Danio rerio: one gene and its partner. The protein of the gene in region 1 interacts with the protein of each later gene in a pairwise test. Links are inferred from orthologs where the notes say so. Each region holds a gene or a part of one and is shown on either strand. Other genes may lie near its edges.

The links.
Region 2: the proteins of pdcd4b (region 1) and eif4a2 interact in binary tests that used the Homo sapiens proteins (3 or more experiments, as listed by UniProt). The two-hybrid records come from large-scale screens. The link is inferred for Danio rerio from reciprocal best matches to the Homo sapiens genes PDCD4 and EIF4A2.

The regions. Positions count from the first base shown.
Region 1 is NC_133197.1:31,538,887-31,542,717, reverse strand, and holds part of pdcd4b (programmed cell death protein 4b), read left to right. Parts: intron 1-1,641; coding exon 1,642-1,752; intron 1,753-1,832; coding exon 1,833-1,972; intron 1,973-3,831. UniProt on the Homo sapiens protein: Inhibits translation initiation and cap-dependent translation. May excert its function by hindering the interaction between EIF4A1 and EIF4G. Inhibits the helicase activity of EIF4A. Modulates the activation of JUN kinase.
Region 2 is NC_133177.1:8,053,664-8,057,494, reverse strand, and holds part of eif4a2 (eukaryotic initiation factor 4A-II), read right to left. Parts: intron 2,495-3,831; coding exon 2,362-2,494; intron 2,204-2,361; coding exon 2,064-2,203; exon of another isoform or gene 1,979-2,063; intron 1,738-1,978; exon of another isoform or gene 1,667-1,737; intron 1,577-1,666; coding exon 1,408-1,576; intron 1,358-1,407; exon of another isoform or gene 1,287-1,357; intron 1,218-1,286; coding exon 1,108-1,217; intron 1,085-1,107; exon of another isoform or gene 906-1,084; intron 1-905. UniProt on the Homo sapiens protein: ATP-dependent RNA helicase which is a subunit of the eIF4F complex involved in cap recognition and is required for mRNA binding to ribosome.

The DNA of each region.
Region 1 (3,831 bases):
ATTCAGGATCGCACCAATTAAATTGTTCACAGTCTTTTCCGTAGCTTGTCAGTGAACAGTGGCTCTGTTTTCAGATGAAGCAGCATTTGCCACAGAGTCGGCTTTACTCACAAGATGCACATGAACACTAGTTTGATTAATCACTCAGCCCAATCCGCTTGTTAGGTCGTGACATATGAAATACTGTTTCCGAGTCCAAGCTGCTACTCATAATATTCATTTATGACCACTTTTTAGTTGCATATCACACAATAAAGTGAATTTTGTATAAAGTCATGGTGTACACACAATAAAAAAAATCCATTCCACTTTCTGGCCATGGAATATTAGGCATATATATATACACACACACATTGTGATCATGATTTCCGAAAGTATTACATCACCTTGTAAGCGTTTATTATTACCATTTGTTGAGCCTCTCCATACAGTTAGAGTGCCTGGACCAGGAAGTCGCTTCACGGAACATCACACTTAACAAGTGAATAATTTGTATACATTTATACCTTAAAAATCTGAATACTGGATGAAAATTATTTTAAAATAACATACCATATACCAAATAACATCAAAATATTTCTGTTTTATGTTGTTTATAATTGTTTAAATAAGCCAAAATAATACATGCCGAACAGCTTTTTAAGATCTCAAAGTTTTAGCTCATAAAAAGGAGAAAGTTCAAGAAACTGGCTGATAAACGGAAGAAAAGGCGGCATTTTTTCAATGCATCCATGTGTACGAACTTTTTTTTCAACGCGATAATTCATTTGACAGTCGTGTGTTAGCAGACCACTGTAATAAATTTATAAAAGCAACACTGACGACCCATGTTTCTAAACAAATTTTCTTCCATTTATTTAATTACGGTTGGCAACACAACATGGCGTCTCTCTGATGTCTGAACACTGTAACAGGTAAAATGCTCTTCGAAGCTATCATGCATGTTAATGAAGTTTGGTTTGAGTCGAGTCTTTTTTTTATGAATTAATGCTAAAAAAGATGTCACATTGTACAGAACGTAACGAATAAACAAAGAACGAATTTTCTGGAAATAATGCAAAAACAACCATTTTTCAAATTTTTTTGTTAAACGTGTGTCCTAATAGTGTTTTTTCAGGAGCATGGGACACATATAACTGTCACCATATAAAAAAACATATTTTGTGACCGTTTAAGTGACATTTAAAGGCGTAACAAGGTTAATTAGATTAATTAGATAAGTGATTGTATAATGATGGTTTGTTTTGTAGACAATCGGAAAAACAAAATATTGCTTCAGGGGCTAATAATTGTAACCTTAAAATGTTTTTTTTTTTTTTTTTTTTTTTTTTTTTTTTTTAAAGAATGCCTTCATTCAAGCTGAAACGAAACAAATGACTTTCTCCAGAAGAACAAATATTATAGAAAATACTGTGAAAAACATCCTTGCTCTAAGAAACATAATTTGGCAAATATTTAAAAAAGAAAAAAAATGTACAGGAGGCCGAATAATTGACTTTATCTGTTTATGAATGCAGTTTTTGCTTGTAGTGTCTTGTATTGTTTTAAAATATTGAATACAGTGTGAAAGGAAGAACACGAGGCTGCTGATTAGTGGTTTGCTCTTTTATTAATGATGCTTGTTTTTTTTTTTTACCTCAGGCAGTGATCATGGTGCTGGAGTCTACAGGCGAGCGGACGCTTCAGATGCTCCTGCAGTTGTTGAAGTGTCTCTGCTCCTCCACCATCATTACTGTGGATCAGATGAGACGGGTATGAAGCGCCAGCTGCTGCTCACATCGAGTTACTGCAGCTTGATGAGCATGTGTAATCTGAGCTCCATCCTCTTGCAGGGCTTTGAACGGGTGTATCTGGACATGCCGGACATCAGTATCGACGTGCCGTGTGCCTATTCGATCCTGGAGCGGTTTGTGGAGCAGAGCTTTAATGCTGGAGTCATCGATAGGAAACTGCGAGACCTCTGTCCTAGTCGGTGAGTCAGAAAGCCTGTTCGTTTGTTTAAGTATAATAGATTCAATGTTTTCTTTCTGCATGCACAGTGGTTTTGAGTAATAAATTTTTTTTCCCCAAATATTTTCTAGGAATCCGGCTATGTCAATAAAATTAGATAAAAAATAAAAAAAACCACACACATTACATAATGCGAGTTTGTCACAGAATAAAAATAGGCAATATCAGGTAGAGCCTTGTAAGTCCATAGTGACTGGCTATTATATAAAGGTGGTTGTGTTGTTATTACATCATTTATATAATGATTTGTATATTATGCTTCATAAGAGTAACAATAATAAATGAATTTACAATGTATAAAAACTGATATATTATTAAAAAAAATTACTTTAATATAGACAAATGGTATTTTAGAAAACTAAGTACATAAACTACATGATGATTAAAAAATATACATCTTAAGCTGCAAGTCAAATTAATGCATTCATTTGTTATGTTGATATATAAACAGCTTGTTAATACATGTATTTTTATTATCGTTAAATAGTTTAATACACGGTTGCAGTTTATCTTAATACTATTAGATTAATTTTCATTTGATAGTATATGAGTATATAAATTACTACTACATAATCGCAAAATGATACTACGCTATTGTCATCATTATTAAAATTTTATTAATATATTTGGTTTTTGTAGTGTATACAATTAATATTCTAATTTTATTAGCATTTTAAGAAATATAACTGATTATATTAGTGTAAATAATATATTTTTGATAATAATGCTATGTTAATATTATTAACATGTTGTTGTTGTTGTTGTTATTATAATAATAGTATATTACTTGTAGCACATTTACAATAATACTGTTGGTTTTATTTATTTTATAAAAATGTTTGTTTTTGGTAATATTAACTACAACAGAGTATTAAGGAAGTCCCTTTGAGGCAGGCTTGTCAAACTCAGTTCCTGGAGAGCCGCAGCCTTGCAGTTTAGTTCCAACCCTGCTCCGACATGCATCCCTGTTAGTTTCAAACAAGCCTGAAGGACTGCAGTAGTTTGATCAGGTGTGTTTAACTAGAGTTAAGCCTGTTTCACATGGCAAGCGTAAGTGGCGCGTGAGCAGAGCATGAGCAGAGTGTGTTTTTTCGACATCCATGTTAACAGATTAGATCTTTCATACCTCACACAGCAGCAGCGCATCAGCGTGAGTCGTAAGCGTCGCTGAAGCAGCAGTTTCGTCGCTGGGTCTATTTTTGCCATGCTGCTCACGCTCAATTAAAGTGACAGTGCATTGCTAATGACCAAAACACATTGAATGACAGTAGAAAGTAGCAATTTTACCTAATAAATGCGCTAATATTATCAACTGATTTTTATTTAGTCAATCAAATAAACTCAAACGATCAAAAACTGCAACAAATATTTATTTAGGTCCGAACTACAAAACCAAGTTCAAAACAACTTTAGTATCAGTTTTGCTTAAGTTGCACACTAGTGTTGCAGGAGAGGGGAAGTGGCCACTTTAAGACTGCTGTTTACGGGAGTTGTAGTCCATAGCGGCGTGTATTGTGGGTAGTGTAGTTCGACACGCATGCTGGGTGATGTGAGCTCGCTGTGTGCTGTGCAGCTGAAGCAAAGTTTCAAGAGTATCTGAATGCAGCCTTTATGTTGCAACCTGAGACCGCATCACTCAGAGATGCAATGTCAGACACAATGCACTCAAATGTAGCTAGTGACGTCACTGTGAGGGGTAGGGTTAGGGTTGGGGTTAGGTGAGCCCATTAAAAAGCATTGGGTGCAGCCCAGATTGCACTGCACCAGGTCTGCATCCAGACCCCTCTCGAAAGTTTTATTCAGCTTTGTTTTATGTTCACT
Region 2 (3,831 bases), on another chromosome or scaffold:
GTTAACAGCACGAATGTCCACTTAAGTTCAGATTTTCCAACTAGAGCCTAATCGCAACTGTGCATTGAATTGACATGTAAATCACTTGCACTCGAAGCTTTATCCACGTCTGGCATGAACACAGCATAAGACCAATTGTCTGAAGTGGCCATTTCGTAGCCAAAGTTCTTGAAGCTGACATTTTCCTGGCATGTTTGCTTCAGTTAACAGGTACAGCTTCATGACTGCATTTGACTTAAGTTCCAGTGACTTAAGGTAATTTGCTTGTAAGGTTCCAATTGGGAACCACTGACTTAAATGATGAATTTGAAAGGATTCAAATGGCGCTGAAAAATAGCTCAACAGTACCAGTTGGCAAAACATGTGAAAAAAATAAAATGTTTAACAGTGGTAAAAACTAAAAAGCAAAAAAAGGTTCCTGATATCCCATGAATTGGAATAGCCATATTTTTAATGTCTGAAAAGGAGATTTTAAAATTCCATTATATTCAAGATATTCTAGTATGAATCCTGTGATGACCATGTTCTTTACATGATCATATGAAATAAAAGATGCACAAGATTGAGACATTCATTCACAAAACGGCACTCTGGGGGCCTGAAAACAACCATTTAAAAAAGCTTTTTTTTTTTTTTTTTTTTTAAATGGGTAGATATGGTCTTTTAGTGAACTACAAAAGCACAAGCAGTGAAAACTGACATCTCCTGCATTCATATTACATGGCATGTGCAAGTACAACAACTAATGGTGGAACACAATATTGTGCAGCTCAAGATTGATATGTATTATCTTGCAATTCAACACAGTTTTAATAAGAGTTAATTTGATTATGATTCTGCCATTATGAAAGAAAAAGAAAAATAGTGATGCTAGTATTTCTTCCACAATGTGTTCCAATCAATATGTTTGTTGCTCTGAGCCTTGAAACATAAGCCACTGGACATTAAGAAAGAGGTCCAACTCAGTTTCATTTCCAGCGCAGAGCCATTGCTCTTCTTCCGCATGATACTCTGCTAGCATCATCGCATAAACCAGGAGACCCTGGAGTCTGCAATTTTAGCACAGTTCTTTTGAGCAGAAGGGGTCTATAAAGATTCTAGACTTACTTGAATGTTTGTGCTTAATTTCTGGAAAATCTCATAGATTTGATCCTTGAAGCCACGGCTCAGCATTTCATCAGCTTCATCAAGGACAAACATCTTGATCCATTTGGGAGCTGGAAGTAAACAACATTACGTATTTTACTTCTTATACGCTTAAACAGCTCAAACAAGCTGGTCAAAAAGTATGATCAGTTAAATTAGTGATTATCTCCATAACAGGTCAGTCCCGAAAGATGATGCCATCACTTCATACTTTGCCCTGCATGTTGTTTCAGACTAAATCTATGTGTATCGATTACTTACACAGATACCGCCTGTTCAGCATGTCAAACACACGGCCTGGTGTGCCAACCACAATGTGCGGAGCCTCCGCCTGGAGCTTTTGCATTTCGTTCCGCACATTGGTGCCTCCAATGCAGGCATGGCATGAAGCACCCATGTAGTCACCCAAAGCCAAGATTACCTTCTGAATCTAAAGCATAGACAAAAATGCAGAGTTTAAATGAAAGGAACACCTAGTAAACACAAGTACTGTGTACCATTAATGCAAAGCACTGGACAAGTATGATCAGTTGAAAAGGTCTTCTCCACAAAAGGTCAGTCCCGAAAGATAGTCATACCATCATTTCATACTTGTGCAAAGCTCTATACAGTTACAATAATTGTCAAAAAAAATCACCTGGCAGTCTAACAACCTAATTTCCAAACACTAGCAGTAAATAATCCAGCTCATTAAAGAATGATTGATCGATTAATCTGCCCGAAAAACTACATGGATGACTGCTTCCTGCTGAACAGATGATCAAATTATGCAAATTACAAACAAAATCCACATTTATTGACTGATAAAGCAGGAAGAACAGCAAAAGAGTACCTTGAATTTGGCTACTGCCAGAATATGCCGCCTTGGTCTGAGACACACATCTTATTGTGTTATTGTGAGCTCAGGTACAGCATACCTGCTGAGCGAGCTCTCGGGTTGGTGCCAGGACCAGAGCCTGAGTCTCTTTCTGCTCAATCTCCAGCTGCTGCAGGATGGAAATGGCAAACGTGGCCGTTTTACCAGTCCCTGATTGGGCCTGCGCGATAACATCATAACCTATGGAGAAATCAAGCATCAATAAAAGGACAACAAAAATGGAAACTACTTAACTGTTAGTCTACAAAGAGATGAGCAATACTAAAACCGGATCAATATGTACAGTTTGATTACCAGAGAGGTAATTAAAAACTATTTGTAACTTGAGCTCACTTTACCTTTTATGCAGGGAATTATAGCTCTCTGCTGAATTGCTGAGGGTTTCTCAAAACCATATGCATATATTCCACGAAGGAGAGTTTCCTTCAAGTTCATGTCATCGAAATTGTCCGTAATCTCATTCCAGTTGCTCTGTAAAACAATGTATATGAGATTCAATGAGAATCAGATTGATTACACTTAAATGTTGAACATCTTACTTCAATATTAGAAATTCTCCAACTTAAGGCTATTGCATTTATTTGGAGTAGACATCAAGTTAAGCTATCACTTTCTATATTCTGCGATGTCAATCAATCAAAGTTTGTTGATTTTTTATTTCCAAGATGTTAGTCAGGGGTAGCATTTTTTTTTATAACTGCACAAAGTCCACTAAAACTTTGTATGAATTCTCCACCAAATCTCTGACAAGAACTATAGCTTACTCTACCTTGATCCCATTTGAGGGTTAAAGAAGATAAAAGATTTTGAAAAAAAGGTTAATCAAACTAAGGACAGACTGTAACAAATATTGAGAACTTAACATGAAGTCCAACAACCTCAAAATGACCAGTTAAAAAGCAAGATTTAAGTGCAGCCTTGATTTAAATGCGGAAGGTCTGATGACAATGCATGTACACATGCATGTCACTTGTTTTTGGATATTAATCTCACTTCAAAATTTATGTAATAACACACTGTGTGAGAGAGAGAGTTTTAATTTTATTGCCATTTTAGCGTCTATGGCTATGTAATGGCAAAATGAAAATAGATCAAGTAAAAATATTCTAAGAATTAAGTCATTAACAGCAATAAATGTACAAGGTAAAATATATAAATAATAATAATAATGATAATATAGAAGAAAAATCTAAAACAATAACAATTTCCTTTTGATAAAAATTCTACAACTTTAACACCCACTGTGCGACAGGAAAAACCTAGATTGACAAATTGCATCAAAGAGGGGGTAATTGTTGCTTCAAATGATTGAAAAAAAAAAAAAAAAAAAAAACACGGAAAGAATTGTTTGAAAATTAAGTGGGAACAAACATTCTTTGCTGGCTGCATTTGATGTCAGAAAGTCCCCATTCCAAACTTCTCAAATAGTATATGAGGTTGGTGCGTTCAAGTGCTTTGAAGAAAAGCAGAACCATTAATTCATTATTAATTGATAGGGAATCTTAAAGCTAAAATGGATTGCGCTGACAGATTGAATGGAATTAAATACATAAACTTGCTTGTTTGTAGAGCAAGTAGTTTGACTGTTTTCTGTCATTTATAAAGTCATTTCTCCCATAGGCACCCAAATGAGAAGTTCAATAAAAAAAAATTATAATAATAATAATATACAAAAAAAGCGCACTTCCGTATTGCAGAATGTTGCACTGTACAAGGGTCATACACTTATTGCAGTGCAATGTGGGATTTAGTGCACTTCAGAAAGTGCAAGGCTGCATTCCAGTACACTCACAAACTTCCCCTCACTT